3 linked regions of the Macaca fascicularis genome follow. The protein of the gene in region 2 interacts with the protein of the main gene of each other region in a pairwise test. Links are inferred from orthologs where the notes say so. Each region holds a gene or a part of one and is shown on either strand. Other genes may lie near its edges. The genes, in order: ARAF, CSNK2B and RNF7.

Region 1 (9,739 bases), on a different chromosome or scaffold from region 2:
AATAAGGAGACACAAAGTGTTCCTAGAAAGTGTCAGGAAAGGATTCTCTGAGAAGGAGGTGACATTGGAGTAAACTCCTACAGGCAGGATAGCAAGCCACACAGACAGTGGGGAAAGGGGAATGTACCATATTTTATAATTATATATTATAATTACATGTACTCTTCAAATGTTATATAATACATATCATCTATATTAAAATAGCAATGTTTTAAAGTATACATATTACCATATTCTATGTTATATATACGTTATACACGATATATGCTAAACATATTGTAGTTACAAAAATATGTTAATGTTCCCTTCACTATCCTGAAATGAAACTCAAAGGTAATTAATGCATATACACTCATAATTTAAAATAATATAATACCCTAACTTTATTTTATGTATCATATAAACATGTATGATGTTCTACATTATATAACATTATGTAATACAACATGATACAATAACATAAATATACCATAAAATATGCACATTATAAAATATACATTAGAGCAATAATATATTTTAATATAGCTATAGTTTTGTATAATATTTAACATAAAGAAGCAATAAAAGGGAAGTAATTTATGATAAAATAATACATATTTCAAAATGGAAAGGCTTGAGTATGGTTATACTAGAAGAATTAGCAAAGTAGTTAGATGCTTATAAATATATTTATAATTAATAATAAAAAGAACTGATTATTTACACTATACCAGATCCTGTTCTAGGCACTGAACATGTCTTAACTCATTTAATCCTCAGCAGAACCTTATATGGTAGAAAGTATCATTATCCCCTCTTTACAGATGAGAAAACTGAGGCCCAGAGAAATCAGGTGACTTGCCCAAGGTCCCAGTTTCATGCCCTTACTCACACTTGTAGGTGCTCAATAAATGTTTGTCAAGTAAACAAATGAATAAAGTATGGCTTGTGGTCTACAAGAGTCCCCAGATCTTTTTCTCCCCCAGTAGCCCTTCAGCTAAGGCACCCCTACCTGGGACCCTGGGGGGTTAGCAACTCATTCAGGGGGCGGTTCGAGGGAGCCTCATGTTGTCTGGAGCCTCCGGACAAATCCTGGACACTGTGGTAGAACCTTGAGGGCATGAAGGGTATAAAGTAAGGGGACACAGGTCAGCTGTCTGTAAGGGCCTTGTGGCTGGGTCTCTGTGCTCCCCATCCCCCCACCCACCCCAGGCTGGGCTCACTGTTGGCGGTTGGTACTCATGTCAACACAGACTGTGGGGACCTTGGAGGAACAATGCTGGTGGAACTTGTAGCCACAGGTTTGGCAACGGAAGCCATGGAACAGAAACTTAAGGCAGAAGTCACAGAATGCCAGGCTGAAGAAGGTCTTCCGTACCTGATGCCGCAGAGCAGGGAAGTTTGAGACCTGGCCAAGGATACTCCCCACCATGATCCGCCCCCACCATCCACCCTGCACTCACAAAATTGTGCATGGTCAGCGGGACATCTTCAAGGACCTCGACAATGAGCTCCTCGCCATCCAGGGGAGCAATGGCTGTGTCCCAGGCAGTGACTGTCTTTCGTCTGCAGGGGGCATGGAAAGGAATGAGTGGGAGGGTGGGCAGGGGCCATGGTGAGGCAGGGAACCGCCACAAGTCCCTCCAAGCCTGCTACCCACAGGGTCATGTCTGGCAAGTTTAATTCTCATCATAGCAACTCTAGGAATTAGTCATTATCCTTGCCCCCACTTTACAGATGGGAAACAGGCTCAGAGGGATAAAATGACTGGCCCTGGGCCACAAGAGTAATGAGAGGCAGGACGGTGTGAAGAGTCCATGCTCTGAAACGGAAGGGGAGAAGCAAATGAAACTAAACAACTACATCTTAGAAGCGCTAAGCCAGCCCCCGAAAAGGGGGCTGAGGAGGCACTGAAACAACAAATAAAGTGCACTGTGTGAACTGCATAAAAAATTAAGGAACCCCACGAGAGAGGAATAAATAAGGTCAGCAAGACCCAACTCAGCAGACAAAGAATGGGGAAAATGAGGAAGAAGAGAGCTGATGAAGTCATGACATCGTGAAAGGACAAAATAGATGAAATCTGGGAGGAAGTGATGGACCAGGGTGAGGACTTGGGGTCCAGGGGAGAATGAGTTGGTTGACCTTACAGGCCAATGAACCAATGAAGTAACAAAACAAAAGATGGATGAACTCATAGATTACTTGAACTACAGTAGTCCTCCCTTATCTGTGGTTTCACTCTCCACGGTTTCAGTTACCTGTGGTCAACCGGGTGGGAAAGTATTAAATTGAAAATTGCAAAAATAAACAATTCATAAGTTTTAAATTGCGTGCATTCTGAGTAGCATGATGAAATCCTGCACCATCCCACCCAGGATGTGAATCATCCCTTTATCTAGAAGATTCACACTGTTTATGCTACCACCCATCACTCAGTAGCCTGCTCAGTTATCAAACAACTGACTCAATATCATAGTGGCTGTCTTCAAGTGATCGCCATTTTACTTAATAATGGCCCCAAAGCACAGTAGTGTTGGTGGCAATTCGGACATGCCAAAGAGAAGCTGTAAAGTGCTTCCTTTAGGCAAAAAGGTAAAAGTTCTTGACTTGAAAGCAAAGAAAATCATATGCTGAGGTTGTTGAGATCTACTGTAAGAAAGAATCTTCCATCTTTTTTTTTTTTTTTTGAGACAGAGTCTCGCTCAGTCGCCCAGGCTGGAGTGCAGTGGCGCGATCTCGGCTCACTGCAAGCTCCGCCTCCTGAGTTCTCACCATTCTTCTGCCTCAGCCTCCCGAGTAGCTGGGACTACAGGCGCCCGCCACTACGCCCGGCTAATTTTTTTTTTTTTGTATTTTTAGTAGAGACGGGGTTTCACCGTGTCGGCCTGGATGGTCTCGATCTCCTGACCTTGTGATCCACCCGTCTCGGCCTCCCAAAGTGCTGGGATTACAGGCGTGAGCCACCATGCCCGGCCGAATCTTCCATCTTTGGAACTGTGAAGAAGGAAAAATAAATTCATGCTAGTTTTGACGTCATACCTCATATTGCAAAAGCGATGGCCGGAGTGCATGATACATGCTTAGTTAAGACGGAAAAGGCATTACATTTATGGGTAGAAGACAAGAATAGAAACATGTTCCGGCTGATAGCAATTGGGTTCGGTGCTATCTGTGGTTTCAAGCATCCACTGGGGGTCTTGGAACACGTACCCTGCAGATAAGGGGGGACTAAAGACTAAGGGAAGACTAATGGAAGACTCTGTGATAAAGAACAGAAGGAATCAAATGACTGAGGAGGGGATGGGAGGTGGGGCACCCAGTGGGTGGGCGTGGGGCTGCCACACTCACCCCTTGATGAGTCGGTAGACCACACAGCAGTCCTGATTTAGACCCCGCACCTTCAGGGCCTTGTCTAGAGAGTCGTAGACACTCATGCCATCCCGGACAGTCACCTGTGTATATGTGCAGATGTAGGGGTCCTCATTGCCCAACAGAGGCCACAGTTGATGTTCCCATCCTTTTGCAAAGGCCTCCCCCAACCGTTGTCACCCTTTTGATCCCAGAGTTACAACTGGGTCCATCCACAGCCCCTGCCATTTCGCTTCCATGACTCACCACCGTGCGTTGCTTGTTGGGCAGGTACACTTTGACGGTGCCCACTGCCCGGGACGGCTCGGCCCCATTGGCAGGGGGGCCCCGTGGTGGCTCCATGGAGCCTTAGATTTTGTCAAGATGGGCTGAGGTGGGGCTGGGCAGGTGCCATGGGGCTCCTACAAGAAGGCAGACAGAATTCAGAGGTCCAATAATGAGAGTCTGGAAGCAAAGTGGCAGGGGACAAAATAAAATTCAAAGTCCAGGCTCCTGTCGCCCCCTGCAGCCTAATTTTCACATGACAGCCCAAGAGATCCTGCTCACATCTGAAGTCCTTCTAGTTCCTCCTCTGCTCAGACCCTCCTGTTGCTTTTCTCACTCATGAGTGCCAAGGTCTCAGCTTCACTGCACAGGGTTGGCGGGGAGAGAAAAAGGAAGGGGGACAGAGCATACTGTCCTGGAGGGTACAGGAGCACAGAAGACTCTGTGCTGGGGACTAATGGGGAAGTCAATACACACTGCACTGAGCTGTCAGGTACATAAGAAGCACAAACAGAATGTCCTGGTTGTTTTTTTTTTTTTTTTCTTTGACAGAGTTTCGCTCTTGTTGCCCAGGTTGGAGTGCAATGGCACAGTCTCAGCTCACTGCAACCTCCACCTCCCAGGTTCAAACCATTCTCCCGCCTCAGCCTCCTTAGTAGCTGGAACTACAGGCGTGTGCCACCACGCCTGGCTAATTTTTTGTATTTTTAGTTGAGATGGGGTTTCACCATGTTGGCCAGGCTGGTCTCAAACTCCTGACCTCAGGTGATCCACCGCCTCAGCCTCCCAAAGTGTCCTGCCTTTTTAACAGAGAACGGGGGAAGTGCCAGATACTCTGGTGAGGGAGGAGTCGCAGGCAGGGTGATGGGAAAGAGAGGATCATGAGATATTGCCCTTAGTGTGGGGAAGATGGAGGTTGCACCAAACATATCCTTAAAGGGCACTGTGGACATCCCTAAGCCCTGGGGTGTAATGTTGATGTTAGGACCACAGACACCGTGTTAGGTGGCTAATGGAAGTCCCAAGACTTTATGATGAGGAGTTCATGGGTGGGGGTCACTACATACTATGCGGAAGGGAGATGTAACAGGTGTCACTAGGGACTGTAATGGGGAGAAGGGTGGAAATGGAAATGACCAGACATCGAGCCAAACTGGGGAGGTAATGGTGGATCACCAGACACTGTCATAGCAAAAGGAGAAGGAAGGTATGGTGTTGCGGGGAGAAAAATGGAGGTAAAGAGGGAGCTCCAAAATTCTCCTTGACAACCAGTGAGGGGGTCACAGGCACATTACTGGTGTAAACTGAATGGGGGATCATGGAAGGCGGTTACAGAGGCGAGAATCCTGACATTCTCCCCCCCCCAGGGGGTCAGACACTGATCCAGAATAAGGAAACCGGGGAGTGAACCCCGTTTCCACACACTCCCCGCAGTTGGTAAGGAAAGGTCATTGGACACCTTAGGGGGTTTAAGACGGAATCCCGGCACCAGTCGGTAGGGTCCCGCCTACCAAAGGGCTTCCGGCTCTGCGCAGGCGCACCACCACTAGCAGCGGGCGAAACCATCACCCGCAGCCTTGCCCGCCTATTCCTGTTACCCACCCCACCCCCGCTGTCGACGATGGTCTCGCCCCGGGTCAAACCACTCCTCCGGTTCCGGGCGGGGGACGCCGGGGCCCGGGCGCAGCCATCCTGGAGCTGAGCTTTCGGTCCGGGCGCCCTGCCCGTGCCCGGCAGCCGCTCCAGAAACCGAGCCCTCCCGGGTCCGCCCTCACCTGTCACGCCGCTACAGCCACCGCCGCCTCCATCTTGGGCCTGTCTTCTTGTTTCCTCACAGAGTCCGCCTTCGCCGTCTCTCGGACTCTCGTTATTGGCTCTGCGGGACTCATCCTTCCACTCTTATTGGATCAAGGTCACGTCTGTCAAGGCAAGACCAACGGAATGTGAGTCGTGTTCCGGATTAGGAGGGGCAGCCTGAAACGTCAAGATCGGGGGCAAGCGCAAGTCCTGACTCGCGCAGGCGCAGTTGGGGCAAGACCTGCGTGCCTGGGGCTTTAACCTCAATAGTGGCATAGACGAATAAAGCAGGACTTTTTAAGGTCATTTGGGGCTGACCTTAGGGCTCTGGCATCTGGACGGAGAAATCCTTAAGTACCCTTTTTGGGCCAGTGCCCTAAGCACCCTTTTATTATTTTCCTGTGTCTCAGTTTTACCATCTTTGAAATGGGTTGGAATCAGAACAAATGATCGGCGATGTTCACCGGCTCTAGGAGACTGTAGTTCATAGCCTTTGAGGACAGCGGGTCTCTGGTGTGGTGGGGGTTGGGGGGCTGGCCCTAGGAGGGGCGGCCTTCTGTCTGGGAGGCTTCCTTTAGGAATGGGGTTGATTAGGATTTTGAAAAACTAGTCACAGGTGGCCAGGTGAAGAGGGAAGTGCGGTGAATGGAGCACGATGCCAGTCAATGTGTGGAAGTACTGTGGGGTAAACACAAATTTTTAAAAATCGAATTTTCCCTGGTGTCGAGAGAGACGTCTCTCTTAGAGCATTTCCTTTAGAAAACTTGTAACTGTAAAATTTTCTCTGTCCCTTTGAGATGTAAGTCTTTTAAAATGCTAGATCTCTTGCCAGTTTTACAACCCCGGAATGTTTTTCTTAAGAGCCTCGTAGCCATCTCTTTGATGAAATGTAAACATCAATGAAAATAGCACCCCTGTCTTCCCGTCTTCATGGGAATTTGATCTGCGTGCCTGGCTTCAAGTTATTACCTGCTTGTCATAAAGATACGAGTTTTCGTTTTCCTTTGGATAAAGGCAATTAACTAACACAGATAGCCGCACCAATTACTAGGTGAATTTGGGATGAAGTATGTGTACCAAATGGTGCTGTCAAGTTTCTTACTTGAGCACAAGTTACTGTTTGAGAATATGTTTGTAATGGGCTGTATCTGCCTGTTACATAAACGGATGAGATTTCTTTTGTCTTTGAAACCTCTTTAGCCGATTGTTTGTGATGTGCATCACAGTCTGGTGCAGTGCTTATTCAGTAATAAAACTTTCCATTCTTGCCGGGTGTGGTGACTGATGCCTGTAATCCCAGAACTTTGGGGGGCCAAGGCAGGCGGATCACTTGAGGCCAGGAATTCAAGACCAGCCTGGCCAACATGGCGAAACCCCGTCTCTAGTAAAAATGCAAAAAAAAAAAAAAAAAAAAAATCAGTTGGGTAACTCAGCTTCTTGAGTAGCTGGGACCACAGGCGCCCACCACCATGCCCGGCTAATTTTTATAGTTTTAGTAGAGACAGGATTTCACTATGTTGGCCAGGCTGGTCTCAAACTCCTGACCTTAAGTGATCTGCCCACCTCGGCCTCCCAAAGTGCTGGGATTACAGGCTTGAGCCACCACACCTGGCCCCAACTCCACTTTTCTATTTGAATCTTCACCATTTAATGGCTAAATAAAATTTTTAGAGAGACAGAATCTCACTATGTTGCCCAGGCTGGTGTCAAGCTCCTGGTCTCGTTCTCCCAACACTCTAGGATTATAAGCGTGAGCCACCATGCCCAACTCCAATGGCTAAAATTAAAAAGACTGACAATACTACGTATTGATGAGAATGTAGAGCAATTGGAACTTTCATACATTGCTATTGGGAGTGTAAAGTGGCACAAGCACTTTAGAAACAGTTTGGCAGTTTCATATAAAATTAAACATAGACCTGCCATGCAATTCAGCAATCTCACTCCTAGGTATTTACTCTAGAGAAATGAAAACACGTGTCCAATGGTGTGCTGGTAAATGTTTAACAACCAACTCTCCAGGAAGAAAATGGCTCTAATTTGTACTGTCCCCGTGGCTTATTTCAGGCTACTGATGTGACAGTCGCTGAACCAGATTTAAAAGAGATGCACAAAATCTGCTCTGGTGAGCCAGCTACAACATGCTACTATTGCAGTATATCTGCACAAAAACTTGTATGCAAATGTTCAGATTAGCTTTTTCATAATATCAAAAAACTGGAAACAGCCCAGGTGTCCAGAAACAGAACTGACAAAGAAATACAACAACGGGGTTATGGAATACTACTCAGCAATGAAAGGGAACAAATTACTGACATATAGGAAGAGCATAGATGAATCTCATAGACATGGGGCCAAATGAAAAAAGCCAGACACAAAGGAGAAATACTGTATTCCACCTGTATGAAATCTAAACCAGGCAAAACTAATCTATAGTGAAGGAAATCACATTAGATGTTGTTTTGAGGGAGAATGACTGGGAAGTACATTAAAGAACTTTTGCAGGTGATTGGAATGTTCTGTATGCATTTGTCAGAACTCATTGAACTCTATTTTTATTATTATCTTTTTTTATTTTTGAGACAGAGTCTGGCTTTGTCACCCAGACTGGAGTGAAGTGGCACAATCATGGCTCACTGCAGCCTTGACTTCCTGGGCTTAAGTAATTCTCCCACCTCGGCCTCCCAAGTAGCTGGGATTACAGGCACACACCACCACACTCAGCTAATTTTTAATATTTTCTGTAGAGATGGAGTCTCACTATGTTGCCCAGGCTGGTCTTGAATTCCTGGGCTCAAGTGATCCTCCCACCTCGGCCTCCCAAAGTGCTGGGATTACAGGCATGAGCCACCTTGCCTGGCCTCATTGAACTCTATACTGAAAATGGATATATTTTGCTTTATGTGTAATATACCAGAGTAAGAACTGTGTGGCAAAAGAAAAAAAAAAGAAGGCCTCAAACATAATTCTAAACGTTTGTGTTTGTACAAATTCTTACTGGTTGGGGAAATTATTTTGAAAAAATTCTTTTTTTCTGAAATTAAATCCCTAAGCCCTGAATCTCCATCTCCCACTGCAGGAGTCCTGGCAACCACCTCAGTGCCAGTGGGGTCAGGAACAACTCCTGTTTGGAGCTCAGTGAGGGGCTTTGGGGAGGGGAATAGGGGAGTGCATTTTATATTTCAATTCACTTAAATTGTTTAAAAACTTTAATTCCTAGGCATTATTTGAAGACAGACTTCTGGCTCCATCGTTCAACGTTTATAAAAAGATGAGAAAAATGCCAGCAAAAGCTCGTTGCTTTCGCAGGATAGGGGGAAGGAGGGGAAGGGTAGGGGACACAGCCCACTCAAAGGCAATGCTTTCTCCCCCAAGAACTCATAGACTCACTTCACACCCATCTCAACTGGCACTTCAGCCAAGTACCTTACAGGTACCTGACACTTTAAAGCATGAAGGCCTTTAAAGTGATTTAGGTTTGGTTTGGTTTTGCGACAGGGTCTCGCTCTGTCACCCAGGCTGGAGTGCAGTGGTGCAATCACAGCTCACTGCAGCCTCGACCTCCTGGGCTCAAGCGATCCTCCCAGAAAGCTGGGACCACAGACGCATGTCACAGCGCCTGACCTTCTTGATTTTTTATCATTATCATCACCACCATATTTAAACCATTAGAAGTACCATGTATTAAAACAAAAATTAAAACCCAAACTAGCTGATTATAGTTCTCTGACATCCCCCTTGTAATTATCCATCTGGAAAAAAATGTAAAGCTATCAAAGTACTTGTTGATTTTTATTGTTGTTCATTTTAAAGTCTCAGAAACATGCCTGAAAATTTTTTTAAATCTCAAGTGTTCGCCGACTGCCGTTGTAGTGCTACTTTTATAGCTGAAGACATTAAGGTTCAGGCTGCCCTCACCGTAGGGGAAAAGGAGAGAGTGCTTCGTTAGATAAAAAGTGTTTAACAAGGGTGCGGCCATGGGCACCTCCTTAAGGAATCCCAGATCCACCCAGCAGTCCTGCCTGCCTGGAGACCTCCTCTAAAACGTGCCACTCTCATTTCCCAAAGCCGCCGACCTCGCCGGCCCCTGCTGCGGCCTGGAGAGCGCCATCTCTGGGACCCCATCCCACCGCCGCCCTCTCAGCTGTTCATTTCCGGGGAGATGACCATGCGTGCACATTTCTCTGAGGCCGGGAACACAGGTTTGACTCAGGGCGCTCAACCACCAGCTCCTCTCTGCCAACCCAGGGAGCCTCGATTCGCTCCAGGTCCCCCAACAGGCAGCGAGATCTGCCAATGGCAGTGCAGTGGAAGGCGGGCCTTGGGA
Region 2 (9,723 bases):
TCCTGCTTGGGGCAGGATCCTGGTTGGGAAGGAAGTTATTAACTTGGCAGGAGGGACAGCATGTCCTCACCCACAACGTCTGGTTCCTGAGTGTGGGAGCAATGGCCCAGACGGGGTAATATCTGGGCACTATCTGGTTCTTTATCCAGTGTCTACCTTTGTCCTGCATACCCTCCAAAGACCTACTCCCTCCCTTGGAAAGTCCATGGCTTAGTGTCTATCTCTGCCACCATGTGCTGTCTTCCTCATATAACAGGGCCAGTCCCCACTGTGCTGGGACAACCTGGCCTGGAAATCAAGCATCCCCATCCTTCTGAGATGGGCAGTCCCAGCTCCAACAGCAGGCAGCACACACACACATCACTGAGCAGTAATTCTGGACCTTGTCCCACCTCATTCCACCCTTAGTTATACTGACTTTAGGGCTACTTTTCCTTTAAAACTGAAAGATGGAGTTGCTGATTAAGCACCTTACAGTATAGACAGACAGTTATAGGTATCCAAATACTTCTCATCTTTAAAACATGCTTTTTCTGTCTTTTCCTTTTGACCTTGCACTTCATCACACACAGTCCTAGGAATTCTGTTCTGCTCTATACTAAAAACATCACCCAATTCACTGAGCACAAATCTGTCCTGGTTTTCAATCTGGGGAGGGTGGGCTGGGCCATGAGGGCCCCTGGAGTCCAACACACCATCACCTTCCCTTCCCCAACCGCAAGCACCAGCAGACTAGCTCATGGCCTTTTCTTCCACTTTATTTCATATTCCCACCACAATAATGACTCCTTTAATTTAAACTAAAAACCATACAGGGTTCCTGAAAGGGTGGCAAAAAGGAAAGGAAGTGCAGGACAGGTGGGGTAGGGAATCAGCGAATCGTCTTGACTGGGCTCTTGAAGTTGCTGGCGGCTTGGAGCTGCAGCTGGTAGGCCATCGGATGAATCTTGAAACCGTAGAGCCTGGACCAGGGCAGAGGTCAGAGAGGCAGTAGCATGAGCCCCATCCAGACCCTGCTAGTCACCTGCATTCCCACCTCCCCACCTGAACTCCTCCATGGACCTGCTCAGAGCTTAAGCCTAGTGGTTCCCAACTTCTCAGCTCAAGAACATTCTATGATAAGGTAACTGAAGCACAGACAATCAAATAACTTTCCCACAGTCACTCCGCAGGGAGATGCCGATTCTGGGAGAAGCAGGCCTCAAGAAAGGGCCATGCCCCATCCTCCCCTCTCTCTGGGGGATCTTAGGCCTTTCCTTTGACCCTTAATGACTCTCCCTGCTCCCTACCTGGGCACAAACTGGTTGGCGGGTCTCTTGGGCCGGTACTCGGGATGCACCATGAAGAGCATGTGAGGGAAACCAGTGCCAAAGTAGGCGCCATCCGTGTGATGGTGTCTCGATGACTTGGGTGTGTACACATCCATGCACTTGGGGCAGTAGAGCTTCACCATGGCTTCACCTGGGATGTCTGAAAGGCCTGGGAGACAGCCAGACTCAGCAGGCCAGGTATCTCCCTGTTCCTACTTAACCTCCCCTCAGGACTCAGGCCCCAAGATGCTGAGCCCTAACTCCTTCCCGTAAGACTGCCACAAGGTGCCTTCCTTTCCCTTCTTCAACACTCACCGATGGGAAGCATTGGCTGGTTCTCACAGTACACACGAGGACAGTAACCAAAGTCTCCCTGCTGGTACTTTTCCAACTGAAGTGAATAAAATGGAAGGGGTTGGCAGGTAGGTGTGAAGAGAAGAGGCAACTCCCTTCTCAGCTCAACCCATATCACTCTGTCCCCCACTCCTCCCACCTCTGTCCAGAGGCCCCTTCTCTGGCCCAGATGGGCTCTCAAACTCCTATGTTGCCTTTCTTCCAGTTAGGCAGGCTACAAACCATCAGAGCCATTTGTTGTTTGTTCCCTGAGGAAGAGGCAGTCTATCACAACTCTCTGTTCAAGGACTGTCTCCCTCCCTGAAAATTATCCCTTCAGGATGACCCCCAATCAGAATTCAATTCCCAGGCCCAAGCCTGGGGTTCTTCTCCTCTTCTCAGCCAGTTTCCTTAAACAAGGCTTAAACATGACTTCTTGCTGCAGGAACCTGTGTCCCTTACTGCTCAGAAGGAGGCAATTAGGAGCAGAGAGGCCTCACCATCTGGGCAATGCCACGGTTGGTAAGGATGTAGCGGGCGTGGATCAATCCATAAAGCATCTCGGCAGCCTGCTCAATCAGGTCACTCTGGTTGGGGTTGTCTTCCAGTTCTTCATCTGAAACACAGCCCGGCCAAATGCAACCACTTGTTTTTCAGCTTTCCTAGGTGCCCTGCCCATATCCAGGGGGTGCGGGCTATTCAGTTCGCCTGGCACCTACTTTTGGGCCTTACCCCATCCAACATCTGGGCATGTGACCCAGAAACCTGGGCTTCTGACCCTTGCGCCAACCCAAGACAGCTCTGTCTTCTCTTCACACCTCTTTAGCCTCCGCTCCCCACTCTCCCTCCCAGCTCCCTCCCCGATACATAACTGCAACAATGTCAATGCAAAAGATGAAACTCTAGACTGGAAGGTGCAAAGCAGGAGAAATAGCAAACCAGACCCATGAGGAAACATATTTTGGAAAACATCTGAATTGTGGATTTAGAAAACATGGGAACAAGTGATATACGTCACAAAACTAGACACAGTCAGGTGGAGGATCAAAATAAAGCATGAATTTGGGGTTAAAGAAATCAGAGAACCAAAGGAAATTTCAAAATTCAAGTAAGTGAATATAGATTTGAAGAGAAAAAAAGTGCATGCACACACACAAAACAACCCTGAGGGTGCCTCACCAGGCTCCAGGTCCAAGATCATGTCTAGAGCTTGTCGATAGTGAGGAACCTGCTCATTGAGTCCAGTAAGATTAAATTTGTCCTGGATGTAGTCTTCATCCACCTGTTGGGACATGGAAGCCAAGAGGGAACCCATATCAAAATCCCCATCTTTGACCTGGGCAAAATGCTCTAACTGATGCCTTATCATCAACACAACTGCATCTGTTCCGCTTGTTTCTCACTCCCAACTCAGCAGAAGTACTTGCGTCTCTCCCTAGTTCACCTATACTCCCTCCCATAAAGCTTTGGCTTTTCTTTTCTAAGGATAAGCAGGTACAGCAATCTTTTTCTTAGACATTCTTTTCAAGATCTCTGTCCCTACTCCTGTACTCCATCTCTAGGAACCAGTTTTGTCCTCTCAGCTGGCTGAGGAGGATGGAAGCTGAACGGCATGGTTTCTGAACAAAACATTTCAATACGTAGCATTTCAATTTTCCTAACAGCCAGCTGAGACAGGTACTAGCAGTACAACTTTAGTAATAAAAGATACAGGCTGGGCGCAATGGCTTATGCCTGTAATCCCAGCACTTTGGGAGGCTGAGGCGGGCAGATCACCTGAGGTCTGGAGTTTGAGACCAGCCTGGCCAACATGGTGAAACCCTGTCTCTACTAAAAATCCAAAAATTAGCCGGGCGTGGTGGCGGGTACTTGTAATCCCAGCTACTTGGGTGGCTGGAGCAGGAGAATCGCTTGAACCTGGGGGGCAGAGGTCGCAGTGAGCCGAGATCGCACCACTACACTCCAGCCTGGGCGACACAGTGAGACCCAGTCTCAAAAAAAAGATAAAGAAAAAGACACAAATTGCCTGCTGGAGGGTGGCAGAGTCGAAACTTGGGCCCCAGTTTTGCCACTTTAGCACAGGTTCGTCGGGGGTTATTGAGGGGACTCTTCGTTGATGGGAAGTTTTCAAGTAGTATGTAAGAGAACAGTGTAGAAGTGGAATACGTGAAGGAACATCTGGTGGGAAGATATGTGAAGCCAGCAAGTAGGGAGGTCGAAGAGAACTCACTTCACAGAAGAATTCATTGCCACGGAGCCCACAGAACCAGGAAATCCAGGACACCTCCTCTGAGCTGCTCATCTTCACGTCAGCTGAAAAAAAGAGTGTCAGTAAAGCTCAAGTTCTCCTTCCCTGCCTCGGGTATCCTCCCTCCTCCCACATTAGAACCACCCTTTCTTAAAGGATCCCAAACTCTGAAGCACTCCTCTCCAACTCCTCCAATTTACATCTCAGTTCCCTTTTCTTTGACGTTAAACATTCTTTGGGGTCCCACCACTTGAAAGAAGCCAACAGATACTTTGACCCACCAGCCCGACCCACGTCCCTGGAGCTCCCGAAAGCCAGGGCCCTCTCTTCTCTGTGTCAACTCCGGCAGGGACCTCGACTCAGGCTCCGTACCAATGCAAGTCTCTGCACGACCCCGGCGCCTTTCCCAAGGATTTCCAAGTTTATCACTCTCAAGCAAGAATCGGGCGCCTCCTTTTCTCAAGGGTTGGGGGCGACTGTCAGGTCCCTTTCACCGGATTCCACACATCCCCCCTCCGCTCCTCAAGCCACCTCTCCCTCCTTGCCGGACCTGGTTGCTTCCTCCCCCCGCCCCCATATCAAAGTGCGGAGACCCATGTGCGGCTCCCAGCGACAAGCGACTAGGAGCAGCGAAGACCTCAGACTCACCAGCTGGACGGGGACCAGGACTGGGGTGGGGTAGGGAAGTTGCTACTTCGAAGGAACGGCGGCGACCGCTACAGCGCAGGCCGCGGACCCGACCGCGGCAGGCGAAGTGGGGTGGGGGGAGTGGAAATTGGGGAGGGTGGGGAAGAGGGCAACACGCAAGCGCCAAGGGTCAGGTGCCGCGGTGGATGCCGGGACGCGGAGTCCCCGGTAGAGAGAGAAACCGGCTAAGTGAGGGAAAGCGAACTACCAATCCCAGGATGACCCGCGCACGACCTGGCTGTCACGAAGCCCCGGAGGAGGACGCTTGCGGGCGGGGCGCAACGAGAAGCCACCGGAAGCGGAAACCAGGTATGGCGTTCGGGGCCTGGGAGCCTGGGCAATACAGTTGTGTGCTCACTGGGCGAAGAAGCTGACTTAGGGCGGGGAAAGGAGGGAGCCAGGCTGGACCCCTCCTCGCAGCTCTCCTCACAGTTGCCCTCTAGTCCCGACGCGGTGCTGCTTCCCTGGGGACTGGCCTATCCTTGGCCAATGCGCTGGGTCCTTATTGCCTGTTGGGCCCCTAGTGCGAGTCAGTCCCGCCAGAGACCCTTGACGGGCCTTCTGTTTTACTCCGGGCTCCGGCCTCATGAGGCGAGAGGTGCGGCTTGGCTCCGTGCGTAGGGACTTGGGTTGGGAGGGCTGGGCTGGGCTGGGCTGGGCTGGGCTGGGCTGGGCTGGGCTGGGCTGGGTGAGAACCAGAACGGCCCAGTGCGCTAACCTGAGGTGGTGCCAGCCATTCTGCTCGTCCCCTTGCACTTCTCCATTTCCCCTTAGTCTCTAAGTGTGACCTTCGAACCCTGGTCAGAGTAATGGTGAGGGGCAGGCGTGACGTTATTTCATTACACGGCTTCTCGGCATTCCACAGGTTTCCCTCCGCCTCCTGAGGGCCTTTCCTAACCCAGAGAGTGGATTCCTAGCTCCAGAAAATGGGCTTGGAGCGGGGGCCACGTAGAGGAAGGCGAAGGGCATTGTGGGGGCGTTATGTAAAAGTAGGACCCCAACCGACAGATCCTAGCGCTCGCGCCACCTGGGCGCGCGGAGCTTTGCTCGTTTACTATTGGAAAAGTTCCAGCGCGGGAAACTGAACCGGGAGCTTTGCGCACGCCTGAGCCATCAAGTAATGTGGGTGGTGGTTTTTGTTGTTGTTGTCGCCACGCATGCGTCTCCGTGCCGTGTGGCTATTTGATTGTGTCAACTCTGCTGATCAGAATAGCGCCATTTTGCGTTACGGAAGCTACACGGCAACACGTATAGGAGCCTCTCCCCGAGATCTTCTAGGGAGTGACCCGTCTATTTTTGTTTGGGAAGAGGAAACTCCGAAATGGGATCACGGAAGACTTAAAGGGCCAGGTTTGATTTTTTTTTTTCCTACTGGTATGTCTGTTTTACGGGGTGAGAAAGTGATTTCAGAAAGAGGCTGGTATTTATTGTTGGTAAGGATGGGGGTGGGGGCCGGACGCAGGACCTCTGGACGACTGTCTCATGGAGTTTGATTAATCTTTACTAAGGAGCAAAGTCGGTATTGTAGGGTTTCGTGTTTTTACGCATATACTCTCTCCCTTAGACCCTGCAGAGTCTTAAGTTGTGGGGTCACTTTAGCGGCAGGAAAGTGTTTTTGACTACTTTTTCTCATCCCAGCAGGTCCCTGAGGCTCTGGTTGCTACAGAGTCACCAGGAGCTTGGCTTGCTTGTCGCATCCTTCCCTTGCCTGGTATCATTTTCTCAGTTCTCCCAAAAGCCATGTCCCAGCCCTTCCTCATCACCTTCACCCCAGCCACTGACCCCAGCGACCTCTGGAAGGATGGGCAGCAGCAGCCACAGCCCGAGGAGCCAGAGTCCACCCTGGATGGAGCTGCAGCCCGAGCTTTCTATGAGGCCCTTATTGGGGATGAGAGCTGCGTTCCTGACTCCCAAAGATCTCAGACTGAACCTGCCAGAGAAAGAAAGAGAAAGAAAAGAAGAATCATGGGGGCAGCTGCAGCAGAAGCAGTGGCAGAAGGAGTATCAGGAAGATATGGACAAGGGAGATCCCTTGAGGCTGAGGATAAGATGACTCACCGGATACTGAGGGCAGCCCAGGAGGGGGACCTGGCAGAACTTAGGAGACTGCTGGAGCCCCATGAGGCAGGAGGAGCTGGGGGGAATATCAATGCTCGGGATGCCTTCTGGTGGACCCCACTGATGTGCGCTGCTCGAGCGGGCCAGGGGGCAGCTGTGAGCTATCTCCTGGGCCGTGGGGCTGCCTGGGTGGGGGTCTGTGAGCTGGGTGGCAGGGATGCGGCTCAGCTCGCTGAAGAAGCTGGCTTTCCTGAGGTGGCCCGCATGGTCAGGGAAAGCCATGGAGAGACAAGGAGCCCAGAGAACCGGTGAGGGGAAACTTTAGCTCAGACCCCTGTCTCATTGTGTTCTGCCTCTCCCAGCCACTCCACACCAGAGGCCCCAGCACAGTGCTGAGTTCTTTCCTTATCCTCATGTGTAGGTTGACAAGGTAGTATAGTCAAGTGGTTATGAATATGAGCTACCTGGATTTAAAGCCTGATTTCACTTACTTGGGCAAACAACCTAATGTCTACATGTTCCAGTTTTCTCATCTTAGAAATGGGGTAGTAAGGATTGTTGTTAGGATTCAATGGGTTAATATATGTAAAATGCTAGAATAGTGCATGCTGCATAGTATGCAATATATGAATGTTAGCTGTAGTCATTATCACTAGTATCCCTCCCCTTGCCCAAGAGTTTGCTAGGCCTGGTTACAATTTTTTCTTTTCAACTCTTCTGCTCTGGGTCCCACAATGGTTTAAATAAATTTGTTTTTAAGACCAGTAGTGAGAAGGAGGGGAAAAGTAGAGTAAGGAGTTTGATCTGTAACTGAGTGAACAGTCATTTCAGATAACACCACCACCTTTGGACCAGCCTGGATTCCCTCATTATTAAGTAGGAAGGAAGTCAATTTGTCCTTTTTTTTTTTCCCCAGACAAGGTTTTACTCTGTCACCAGGCTGGTGCGCAGTGGCGTGATTTCAGCTCACCGCAACTTCCACTTCCCGGGCTCAAGCATATTTTTTGTAGAAAGCAGGTTTTGCTGGCATGGTGGCATGTGCCTGTAATCCCGGCTACTTGGGAGGCTGAGGCAGGATAATTGCTAAGGTGGAGGTTGGAGTGAGCCAAGATCATGTCACTGCACTCCAGCCTTGGCAGCAGATTCAAGACTCCATCTCAAAAAAAAAAAAAAAAAGTAGGCTGGGCACGGTGGCTCAAGCCTGTAATCCCAGCACTTTGGGAGGCCGAGACGGGCGGATCACGAGGTCAGGAGATCGAGACCATCCTGGCTAACACAGTGAAACCCCGTCTCTCCTAAAAAAAATACAAAAAACTAGCCGGGCGAGGTGGCGGGCGCCTGTAGTCCCAGCTACTCGGGAGGCTGAGGCAGGAGAATGGCGTGAACCCGGGAGGCGGAGCTTGCACTGAGCTGAGATCCGGCCACGGCACGCCAGCCTGGGCGACAGAGCGAGACTCCATCTCAAAAAAAAAAAAAGTAGGCTTTGCCATTTTGCTCAGGCTGGTCTCAAACTCTTGAGCTCAAAGCGATCTGCCCACCTCTGCCTCCCAAAGTGTTGGGATTACAGGTGTGAGCCACTATGCCTAGCCGGCAATTTGTTCCTTAGCAGAAAAGCTGAAAGGATCCTCTCCTACCCTGCCAGCCCTCTCTCAGGCCTCAACTCTTCCCCTTTTCCTTCCCCTGCCGTTAATGCTTTTTCTTCTTTTTCTGCAGGTCTCCTACTCCCTCCCTCCAGTACTGCGAGACCTGTGACACCCACTTCCAAGATTCCAACCACCGCACATCCACTGCTCACCTGCTGTCACTGTCCCAGGGTCCTCAGCCTTCCAGCCTTCCACTTGGGGTGCCCATCTCCAGCCCGGGCTTCAAACTCCTACTGAGGGGGGGCTGGGAGCCAGGAATGGGACTGGGACCCCGGGGTGAGGGCCGTGCCAACCCCATCCCCACTGTCCTCAAGAGGGACCAGGAGGGACTAGGCTACAGATCAGCACCCCAGCCCCGAGTAACACATTTTCCAGCTTGGGATACCCGAGCTGTGGCTGGGAGGGAGAGAGCCCCTCAGGTGGCCATGCTGAGCCGGAAGAAGGAGAGAAGGAGGGAGGAGAAAGACAGGGCTTGGGAGCGGGATCTAAGGACTTACATGAACCTTGAGTTCTGACTTTGGTAAAATCTGACCCCGGTCTGCTGCTGAAGTCTGAACTTGGGCCTCTGACCTGGGCCCTTTGACTTCCCCTTCCTGGGATCTGCCCAGGTGCAGATCCTCAGTTTTTGGTCAGTGGACTCTGTCTTTGTAAGAGACGGGCTGAGAGTGATAAATAAATCAACCTTTTGTGGTTTATTCACTTTTCTGGAAGCTATTTTGAGGAAGCCAAACAAGCCTGGGAGCCACATGCAAGTCCCACCTGAGCCAGAAGGGGCAGCCTCTCCAGGTGGCAATGATAAGGTCACCTCCCTGCCAATCTGGGTTCACTTTCAGGTCCCAGCCCCTCCTGGGAGTGCCCCACCTATTCTTTCAACCCTCCTGGACCATGAATTGCCCAGCTCCATGCAAGTCTCACTTCCCCCAAGAGGAGTTCCCTGACTACAGCCAATTCACTGATTTCACAAACATAAGTCCATATACTATGTGCCAAGAATACAGGTAAAGACATTCCCAACCCTCAAAAAAGTTCATGGCTGAAGGGGGAAACAGCCATGTTATCAATTTTTTTTTTTCTTTTTTTTTGAGACGGAGTTTCGTTCTTGTCTAGGCTGGAGTGCAATGGCGTGATCTCGGCTCACCACAACCTCCGCCCGCCAAGTTAAAGTGACTGCCTCAGCCTCCCAAATAGCTGGGACTACAGGCATGCGCCACCACACCCAGCTAATTTTGTATTTTTAGTAGAGACGGGGTTTCTCCATGTTGGCCAGGCTGGTCTGGAACTCCCGACCTCAGGTGATCTGCCGGCCCCAGCCTCCCAAAGTGCTGGGATTGCAGGCATGAGCCACCACTCCCAGCCCATGTTATCAAAAATACAGGGTAATAAGGGAAGTCAAAGAAGGCCCCTAGAGATGAGAATGGGTTAGGGTTTTGCTGGAAGAGGTCAG
Region 3 (9,858 bases), on a different chromosome or scaffold from region 2:
ATAAGTCACTGTTTGAGAGCCTTTCCATCCCTGTTCTAGAATCTATGGGTGATGTGATGACCCCTAGTTCCTACACAGCTCCACATGCTATCTTCTTGAACTTAGGAGATGAAAGGACTTGAACCTTCCTTAGATCTGACCTTCTCAGTTATGCACTGACCTTAGAGACCTTCTGGGCTTTATTTTATGGAAAAATGTCCTTCCAATTTTTATTTACCAAGACAGAATGAGTTGTAAATGTTTTTAGCATGCAGTAGGCTATTATAAATAACATGCTTCTAAATATTCAGTTGTGCATCTACTGAGCTGAGCTGTTTTCTAGAAGTAATGAATTGTTAGGTCATCCACAAGCAGTGCAATTCCTCATGTGACGATGAAATTTTCAAAGGGGCTGGCTGGAGAGAGAGGTCTCTCTGTGATCCAAGAAAGTGGCCTGCCCCTCACAATTCCCAAATTAATACTTTTTAAACAAGCAGCATGGAAGAAAAACTTTAAAACAAGGGAAATCATCCATAATCTAGAATGCAATCTCAAATTTGGTATTCATCTGTCCCTTGCTTGATCAACTGAGCTATATGACAAAAGAAAAAGATTAAATGAAAGAAATAAGGCAGAAAAAAAGAAAAAAAATTCCTATGAAAATTTGCTACAGGGGGTAGGAAGCAAGGGTGAAACATTCTAAGTGTTTCAGGAGGAAGAACTGGATCAAAACTGCAAGAATCAATATTAAGTTCTATGTACATCATGTATTTGTGTTCTATGTACACCATGCAAACACAAAATACAAAGCCGATCTTTTATTCTAAGAAAATCTGTAAACATGTTTATATAGCAATCCAGACTTGATCACCTCAAGAACTAGGGCATAAAAATCTTTGAACTGCCTAAAATATTTAGCCTACGACAACTTTTATAGTCTAAGACTCTAAAGAAAATTTGATACACAAACCACATTCCAAAAACATACTTGAGACTTAGAATTTTTCTACTCTGGTTTTAAAGTTAAATACCGTATTATAAAAGTATTGAAAAGTGAAATGCCTTATTAGAACCAAAAGTGACCTATAACATAGCCAAAATTCAAATAATGTTTTGACATTCTGATTTTCTAATTTTCTAAATAGAAAATATTTAATTTTTGATTACCAAAATGTTTATTATGACCATGTCTGGAATATATAACCAATTCTTAATTATGGCAATAAAAGGATTTGCAGGTTCACTCCATTAAACTCTTCTGAGAACCAACATATTTTATATTAATAATGGATCACTGCTTTACAGTTTATTTTTGTGTATTGATAAAGTCAATCTTAATTTCAAATTCAAACATCCCTACTGAGAGAAAACCTTCAGTTGAAAAAGCAAGAGAGCGAAATTACAACATACCAACACAGTCCTCTTGTTTGTTTTCAGCTTGACATCTAAGACAGGCATCTAAAAGTAAACAAACAGCAATTCTCATTCTGATGCTCAGAATGTAATTTTTAAAAACCAGACACTTCAAAGTCAAAAGCTCTAAGGGTTAGAGATGGCAGTAAAGACTCATACTATTAATTTCTCATCTGAATATAACGATTTAAAGAGGAATAAAGTACAAGGCATTCTACTAATTTACTTATAACCAGGAGCAATTTCACAACAGTTAACAACAAATCCTCTATTTTTATAAGCTCTGATGAAAAGATGTCCTGACAGTGCCAATAGAGAAAATTACTAGAGAAAAATATGCCACACTCCACTATATTCGAAGTTACTATATGCTTACTGGGCATGCTCACAGGCAGTTTATTTTCAAGACACCCTTTAAATAAACCATATATATATGTTAGCATTTGTTTATACATACATCAAAAAACACTAGGATACCCAAGGAACCAATAATAAAGTTTACTGAGAGGGTGTGGAATGGGAAGGAGAGTTTTCACTCCTCTTCCAGGTAATATACATACCTTCCTCAATTTCTGAACTATGTGAATATATAACTTATATAAAAACTAAATTGAAAAAATTTGATTCTTTCATAAATAAGTTTTTTAAAGTCATCCATACTTACTGATACATAAGTTTTCCTTCAGCAACTCATAAAAAGCAACTTTTTACTTTCTACCCTAAGACACTTGAGACTTCCTCTAAAATGAACTGCTTTGTATGCTTCTAATAGGTTGCTACTGATGGTCATCCAGACAAGGCTGGTGAGAAGCCAGTGAGACACAGAGGGGAAAGCAAGGGCTGCGGAGCCAGATCTACAGTCAAATCCCATTTCACTGGCATTTATTAGGTTCATGGCCTTGGACCAATTACGAACTCCAATTCCCTCATCTGTAAAAAAGGGACAATACCGTGAGGTATTTATACATTAAGTGGGAATGATATATACTGGTGAGAATTTTATAGATAAAATAAGTAAATACTAGATATCCCTAAGCACTAAGGTTTTTTTCTTTGTAAGAAAATGCTTGGGAGCTAAATGATGAGAACACATGGACACACAGCAGGGAACAACACACACTGGGGCCTTTCGGAGGGTGGAGGGTGGAGAGGATCAGGAAAAATAACTAATGGGTACTAGGCTTAATACCTGGGTGATGAAATAATCTGTACGACAAACCCCTGTGACACAAGTTTACCTATGTAACAAACCTACACTTATACCCCTGTATCTAAAATAAAAGTTTAAAAAAAAAATACTTCCTTTACAGGTAAGTCTGAGCCCAAAGCATTTACCCAGCAATGGTAAAGTACTTTAATAAATTACTTTATTAGTGGTTTCTTGGGTATCCTTCTAGAATTTCTTGATGTACATATAAACAAATACTAACATTATATGTATGGGTTATTTAAAAGGGTGTCTTGAAAATGAACTGTCCATGAGCATGCCCAGTGAGCTTACAGTAACTTCTAATATAGTGGAGTAGGTGTAAACACTAAAAATGAGATCCTAAAGGCTGTACTAGAAGTTTTCAAAATTCAATCTGGAATACTATCAGCTTAATGAAAAAAGTAATATAGAATATTTTAGGGACCAAAAATGGACTCATTCACTAGCTGGAAGAGGAGTCAGTGTTGGGTAAAAGGAAGTTCAAACCAACAGAAAATAGTTTTTAACATAAATAGGAGAAAAATAATTCTGTAAAAATAGAAACATGGTGGAGTTGAAGCCTGCTTCTCTTCTTATACTGGGTTTTGCTCAGGCATTTGTTTGCTCCTCTCCACATGCTCTTACCCTTAAAAACACACCACCGCCCTAGTCTCTTCAGTGTGGATTAAAAACAACCACTGCCTCCTGAGGTTTTCTTCAATCCCACAATTACTCCTCTGTGCAAGGTGTTATGCACTGGAGACACCAAAATGACCAAGGCTGGGTCTCAAGGGGCTCACCAGCAAATGGGGACGTAGACAGACAACTAAATATCATGAGGGTTGTGATACAACAGTGAAGACGTGCTACCTGTATCTGGCTCTAGTTCTGTGCAATCACAGAATTTTAACATTAAGGTTGGTGATCCCAACTGCCTCTTTACAAATTAGGAAAATAAGGCTCCCAAAAGTTACGTGAAATATCTAAGGTGATACAGTCATGAAGGGTTACCCTGGCTATTATAACTGGCTCTACTAGCAAACCTATTCAACGCTTTTCATCAGCACTTTGCTCACTATGCAATCATCACTCTTTTCTGAATGAAGGGAGGATAGTGGAAACGAAGATGAGAGTGTTACCCATATCAGAATGGGCTGACAGGCAAATCTTGGGAGCAGAAAGTATAATAAATCACAAGTGTGAGATAAATTCCAAATACTAAGGAAAGGGAACAAAGTGGGTTCTTGTTGCTGAATCTAGGAATCTCTAAATTACGCTTATAGCTCTAATGTAGATTATCAAAACTGACCCAAATCTACACAAATTCCTAAAGTTGCAGATAAAAGATAAAAATTTGCTTTAATGATCTTCCTAGAATCTAAAACAGCACATTTCTAAGGAGTACAATAACACCTTTTAGAAGGGTGCTAGGGTAAAGACTAGGAAGTCTGGAAAAAAAAATTTCCTTCTGCTGTCACCTGACCTCTAAGTGGGTTTTAACACCTCATAAACAAAATACAAAGGTCTAGCCTAGAATACTTTCCTGAACCCAAAGTACAGCTGTTTGCAAATATGCAAGACTGATCCTGTAGTAGCAGAATACTTGCTATAATTAGAAAGTTTATGATGAAATGTGTCATTTATAGCCTATACTTTGACCTACATTAAAATATCTCAGTAAAGTTTATTTGTTGCAAAGTTTCAATCATTATTTCAGGTTATACATTTCCACTTACTGCTTAAATGTTTTTCCTTCGGGGAGGAAATAGCTTTTTGGGAGAGAAATCTTTTGAAAATACCCTTTGGGAACATTATTTTTAAACTGAAAAGGAACTAAGTGAAAGTTTAGTTTCCTTTAAACTAAAGGAAATTTATTTAGGAGATAAAATGTTTAGCAAAACTTGTATTGCAAAAAAAAAAAAAAAAAGTCTCTTGGATCAGTTAAAAAATGCTTCCCAAACTGGAAACTATGATTCCTAAGTGAGGGTAGGGGCAGCTGTACTGCTGGCAAATAAACTAGATACTTTTAAAGCCTAATATGTTTTGTTTGTTTGTTTTTGAGACAGGGTCTCATTCTGTCACCCAAGCTAGAGTATCGTGGCAGTGGCAGGAAAAAGGCTCACTGTAGCCTCGACCTCCTGGGCTCAAGGGATCCTCCCACCTCAGCCTCCTGAGTAGCTGGAGGCCACCATGCCTGGTCACTTTATTTTAATTTTTAATTGTAGAGATAGGGTCTTGCGATGTTGCCTAGGCAGGTCTCAAACTCTTGGGCTCAAGTGATCCATATAAAATAAGTGGGTCATGTCTAATAACAAGGTCTTTCAAAAGTAAAAGGTAAAAATATCTGAATCCAATTGTTGTAAATCCTCTTTGAAACAAGCCCTTAGAATAAAAGACAAAAGAGCATAAATTGAGAAATCTCTTGATTCTGGTAGGTTTAAAGTCTCATCCCCCCTCAAGGACAGCAATTCTCTTTATGTTCTCCAATTCTCTCATTTTTCAAGACAAGTCAGTTTTCAACCTACAGAAATGTCTGTTTTCTTTAACTACCCTCAATAAAGAACTCCACTGAAGATGCTCTCACAGTAATTTTAAATGCCCTATCTGAAAATACAACTTGCATTTAAACAGCACTTGCTTTTCAAAGTGGTCTGAGATCTTAGAACCATATAAAATATAACAAGATTAAGCTGTTCTGAAACATTTTGCTTGGTCTAATATTTTAACTCCAAATATCACAGAAAGAGGACATATTTGTAAGAGGGTTCTCCACAAAGGCATGACTCAGAGCAGGGCAGTATCTTCTCCAGGAAATGACATCCGATATGGAGAGGGGGGTGTAATGGAGGTGAAGTTCTACATTTCTGAAAAAAGGGCTTACAATTCTTCGGCTTCCATGAAACTTAGATATTCTTGAACCACACTGTCCCCTTCAAGCCACGCTAGTGCTATCTGACCCGTCTTAGATCAATCCAGATTTAAAAGCCATTCGAAGAGCGGCGGTAAGCTAATCCGGAAATGCAATGGCTGTGAACACTTCCCTGTGTACCTCGAGGAGAACTAAGGGTGTCGTTTTGTGGAAGATGACTCCGGAGCATCACTTTGATGGTGACCAAGACTATTAAAGTTCACTGCTGAATCACGGCCTTTACTCTGTCCACCTTGCGATGAGCTTTTAGAACAGGGGCTGGCCACACAAACCGAAGTGTTTCCTGCTAGTTCCCAACAATCACCCGGTTTTATTTTCCTGGTCACACCCATCACTACCTGAAATTACCTTGTTTACCTCCGTTTATTGCCCATTTCTCTCCCTAGAACACCAACCACCCGGCGCCGGGCGCCTGTTGCACAACCCCTCAGCCCTCAGGAGCCGCAACAGGATCGTGGCTCCGCGTTCCTCCGGCGCCCGGGCAGGGCGACCTCCACCCACTCCCCAAGGCAGGGGACTTTCCAAGGCTTCTGGCGGGCGCCCGTCCCGTCCCAATCCCGAAGTCGGCTCCCGGAGGCCGCAGCGCGGCCCCGGCCTTGCGTGCAGCGCTTACCCATCACCTGGACCCTGCAGATGGCGCACGTATCGCACTCAACGTCCCAGCTCCACATGGCCACCGCGTTCCACTTCTTGAGGGAGAACATCTTGTCGCCTCCCGACTTGGAGCCTGAGCTCCCGGAGTGAGACGCCAGGGCGCAGGTTTCCTCTCCGTCTTCCACGTCGGCCATGGCGGCGCCGCGGAGCCGACGGCGGAGACGTTGGCTTGGGGTAGGCGGGAGGCTAGGGCGGCTCTGCCGGGCCGCCCGACGGGCCACAGCGCCGCCCGCAGGCCGCAGGCCACCGTGGTGCCCAGACCCCGGCCACCCACGATTGGCTGGCGCGGCCCAGTGACGTCACCGGACGCCAGCGGCGAGGGGGCAGGCAGGCCCCGCCCCCGCCCTCCTGGGGCGACCGAGCGGGCTTGGGGCTGCTCGGGGCTACGCTGCCGAATCCGCCTGCGGCGCTGCGGGGTGTTACGTCTGAGCAGGCGCACAGATTGTGCTGGAATGTGTGTCCTGCTTTATGGCTTCATTAAAACTACTGCTCTCAGAAATAATCTTGTTAATTTACTTGTTTGTCTCTTCCCTCCCAAGTGTAAAACTCTATCAGAGCAGGGAACATGTTCTTATCACCACATTGTCCTCGGTATCTACAAAATGCCTGGCCACAAGAGGCACAATTATTTCTTGAGTGAATTAATGATCTTAAAGATCTAGAAATCTGGCTCAGTGATTCTCAGACTTTTTGGTCTCAGGACTCCTTTTCACTTAAAAATTATTAGTCCCTTAAAGAGCTTTTATTTATGTAGGAAATGTATAAATATATATATACACACACACATATGTATGAATATATATACATATATACAATGAATATATGTACATTCATGTATAATGAATATTCATACATTTCCTGTATATGTATACACACGTACATAGAGATTAATGTTTCTTTTTAAGAAATTAAAACATATTTTTAAATGTATTCATTAAAAATCACAGTAATAACCTCATTAGAGGTTATCATTAGAGGGATAACTTCACATACCATGTAATTTCTAGAAACTCCCGTGTACACTCGTAGAATGAGAGTGAAAAGAGAGAAATAGCTCTAAATATTGTTAGGCAACTAGTTTGCCCTCTTTTGACCCCTAAAAGAGGTCAGGATCCCAGGAGTCCCGGTGTGTGGCGACACAACCCACACGTATTTTTCAGGCCCTGCTTCCTCATCTGCAGAGTCTCCATTCCTTCTGCTCAGTACATTTGAGCTAGTTTAACTTCCTCTTTTTATATGTAGGACTAATGAGGTCCGAAGAAGTGAAATGACAAAGATCACATTGTTATTACAGTAGTGCTTCTACTGCTAGCCCACCATCACATGTGTTTCCAAGAAAGCAGGCATCTCCACTGAAAAGAAAGCAGAAGCACAGACAGCCTAAGGAGATGCCTGATCCCACCGTCACCTAGTGGTGGACACCTACTCTGTCAAGTTTGGATTCTGAGCCTCTCGCCATCCCCTCATCTCCTGATACCTGGGCAAAAGGTAACCAGGCCAATGGAACCTGGCAGGGGAAACAAGAATGCATTAATCTATAGAAACATAAATATGGACGCAGGGTCACATTCGGTTAGATGGAAATGTGTATTTGTTGAGTGGTGTGTTAAGGGCTGTGAGGGTGCAGGATGCAGTGAGGGAAAGCCTCATGGGAGAGGTGAAGTTTGAACTGGGGGAACATGGGAGGCCTTCAGGGCCTTCAGGGCCAGTGGAGAGAGCAAACCTCTCTGAGCTGTTGGGCAGAGCAGAGCACAATGGTGGTGGCAGACAGGAATTGGACCACACCAACTTTATAAGCCAGACACCCATTGGAGTGAGCACACAAAACATGTGTTCCCTTCTTACTGAACGACCACACATCTGCCTAGAGATGGCTGTAAATGCTAGGTATCTAACAAAGAGAAGGATAAAACGCACCCAGTTGGTGAGAAGTTTGAAAGACAAAAGGATGAAATGGTGAAAAGGGAGAAGGATGGCTTTGCTGGAGGAATGGTATGTGCCCTTGCTGAGCCATGAAATCTGGAGAGAGGTGTCGGCTGCGGTGAAATTTGAGAATAGAAGCCAGGCGGGAGCATAGGGGCGGGAAGTGGAAGGCGGATTGGGGAGATGAGTATGGTTTTGACACACTGCATGTCAGGAGAACTTTTTCTCCTGACAAAGAGAACAGGAATGAGTGATGCACCGGAGTTCAGTGCAACAAGCAAGCATGCATGGGGAGAAGGGAAAGCAGGAGTGAGGTGGAAAGTTCAGGCTGCAGCAGCTGTTCAGGCGTGGCGGGGCCAACGGGTCTCCTGTGATTTCCCTCCTTTGGTTCACCTTCATGAGAGCTTGTCTGCCATCATGAGCACCCAAAGGGCAGGAACTATAGGCGGCCTTGAATGCAGCAAAACAAATATCTGTCCTCCTCATGGCCTGCTCAGTTCCCACTCCACCACTGTGCGTTGTTCCTCTCACCAGTCCTTGGTGTGTGGGGACACAACCCACACTTATTTTTCAGCCCCCGCTTCCTCAGCTGCACAGTCTCCATTCCTTCTGCTCAGTACATTGAAGACGTAGTTTCTTTAATTTTGAGGACTTCTCTTAAGCAAAATATTTAAGGACTAACTGATAAATATTTAGGAAAAGTTTGTCTCAGTACAAGTGGACATTTTTGTTATTTCTTTGGTCCTCACTCCAACCATCATTTCCCCCTTCTGTGCCATTCATCTTTAACAAAATAAGTTTTCCTGTTGTCAGGGAAGTAAAACTTTCCCTCTACCCTCTTAGGTTCAGTATTTGGGGGGATTGCAAATTAAACCAACAAAACACAGATTAGCAGGAGAAAAGATAGATTTTTATTCACCAAAGTAGTCAGAGTTCACAGAAAGTTATGACTCAAGGGGCAATTAGAATTTGGGGCTTATACACTGTCTAAATAAAGGAAAGGGAGAAGGAGAAAGGGCACTTCTGGAAAATAACTTTCAGAAAAGATAAACAGGCCTTTGGGAGAATAGATAGGAGATATGATAGTTTTGTGACAAAGTCTATTAGCTGATTTATTATCCCAGTACCAACTTCTTGTTTCTAATGATAGGGTCAACCTTCCCTGGTTTTAAAATTCCTGGGAAGGAATTTAAGACAGTTGAATTCTTTTGAGAGGCATTGCTTTTAGACAGGTAAGTTCAGGGAAAAAATTAAAATAAAATAAAACAACTCTTCCTGCATCTGTCGATTCTCAAATGCCTTTCGCTCAAAATAATCCTTATGCTATAGAGGCATATTCTGGACTTCTTTCCTGCACTAGGGAAAGAAATAAAAACAAAAACAAACCTGATGACATTTGCTTGTTGAGCTGGAGTAGTTTCCCCAAAGGGACCAATGTTTGGAACTATAATGACAAAGCAAGAAAATTGTTCCTAGAGGCTAGAGATCAAAGCTAGCCTGAAATGTATATGCTACCTCCTCCTGGGAATGTCCTTCTAAGCAAGTCTGCTCTCCATCACACTTGTCAGACAAGAGTTATGGCTCATCTTTTTTCTTGGAAATAATTGTGTTCATGTCCATAGGTCCCTGAGCATTTGCTGGTCTTTTTTGGTCAGATGGAACCCTCCAGTTCATTTGCCTCTCTTGGTCTTAGATGACAGTGCTGTGGCCATAAATTATTAATCCTGCTGCCCCACTCCCCCAACACACACACACACGTGCACACACATCC

Evidence for each region.
Region 1: the proteins of CSNK2B (region 2) and ARAF interact in a two-hybrid assay, tested with the Homo sapiens proteins (2 studies listed by BioGRID and IntAct). The link is inferred for Macaca fascicularis from reciprocal best matches to the Homo sapiens genes CSNK2B and ARAF.
Region 3: the proteins of CSNK2B (region 2) and RNF7 interact in a two-hybrid assay, tested with the Homo sapiens proteins (2 studies listed by BioGRID). The link is inferred for Macaca fascicularis from reciprocal best matches to the Homo sapiens genes CSNK2B and RNF7.

The regions. Positions count from the first base shown.
Region 1 is NC_088395.1:47,654,260-47,663,998, reverse strand, and holds the start of ARAF (serine/threonine-protein kinase A-Raf), read right to left. Parts: upstream 5,449-9,739; 5' UTR 5,391-5,448; intron 3,753-5,390; 5' UTR 3,694-3,752; coding exon 3,598-3,693; intron 3,435-3,597; coding exon 3,331-3,434; intron 1,546-3,330; coding exon 1,443-1,545; intron 1,358-1,442; coding exon 1,203-1,357; intron 1,091-1,202; coding exon 992-1,090; intron 1-991. UniProt on the Homo sapiens protein: Involved in the transduction of mitogenic signals from the cell membrane to the nucleus. May also regulate the TOR signaling cascade. Phosphorylates PFKFB2.
Region 2 is NC_088378.1:140,052,279-140,062,001, forward strand, and holds CSNK2B (casein kinase II subunit beta), read right to left. Parts: upstream 4,643-9,723; 5' UTR 4,540-4,642; intron 3,957-4,539; 5' UTR 3,946-3,956; coding exon 3,874-3,945; intron 2,926-3,873; coding exon 2,823-2,925; intron 2,260-2,822; coding exon 2,144-2,259; intron 1,702-2,143; coding exon 1,626-1,701; intron 1,480-1,625; coding exon 1,290-1,479; intron 963-1,289; coding exon 872-962; coding exon of another isoform or gene 796-871; 3' UTR 741-795; downstream 1-740. Other genes in the region: GPANK1 (G patch domain and ankyrin repeat-containing protein 1), read left to right, coding at 6,319-6,944, 8,350-8,794. UniProt on the Homo sapiens protein: Regulatory subunit of casein kinase II/CK2.
Region 3 is NC_088376.1:44,564,928-44,574,785, reverse strand, and holds the start of RNF7 (RING-box protein 2), read right to left. Parts: upstream 6,322-9,858; 5' UTR 6,299-6,321; coding exon 6,124-6,298; intron 1,438-6,123; coding exon 1,390-1,437; intron 1-1,389. UniProt on the Homo sapiens protein: Catalytic component of multiple cullin-5-RING E3 ubiquitin-protein ligase complexes (ECS complexes), which mediate the ubiquitination and subsequent proteasomal degradation of target proteins.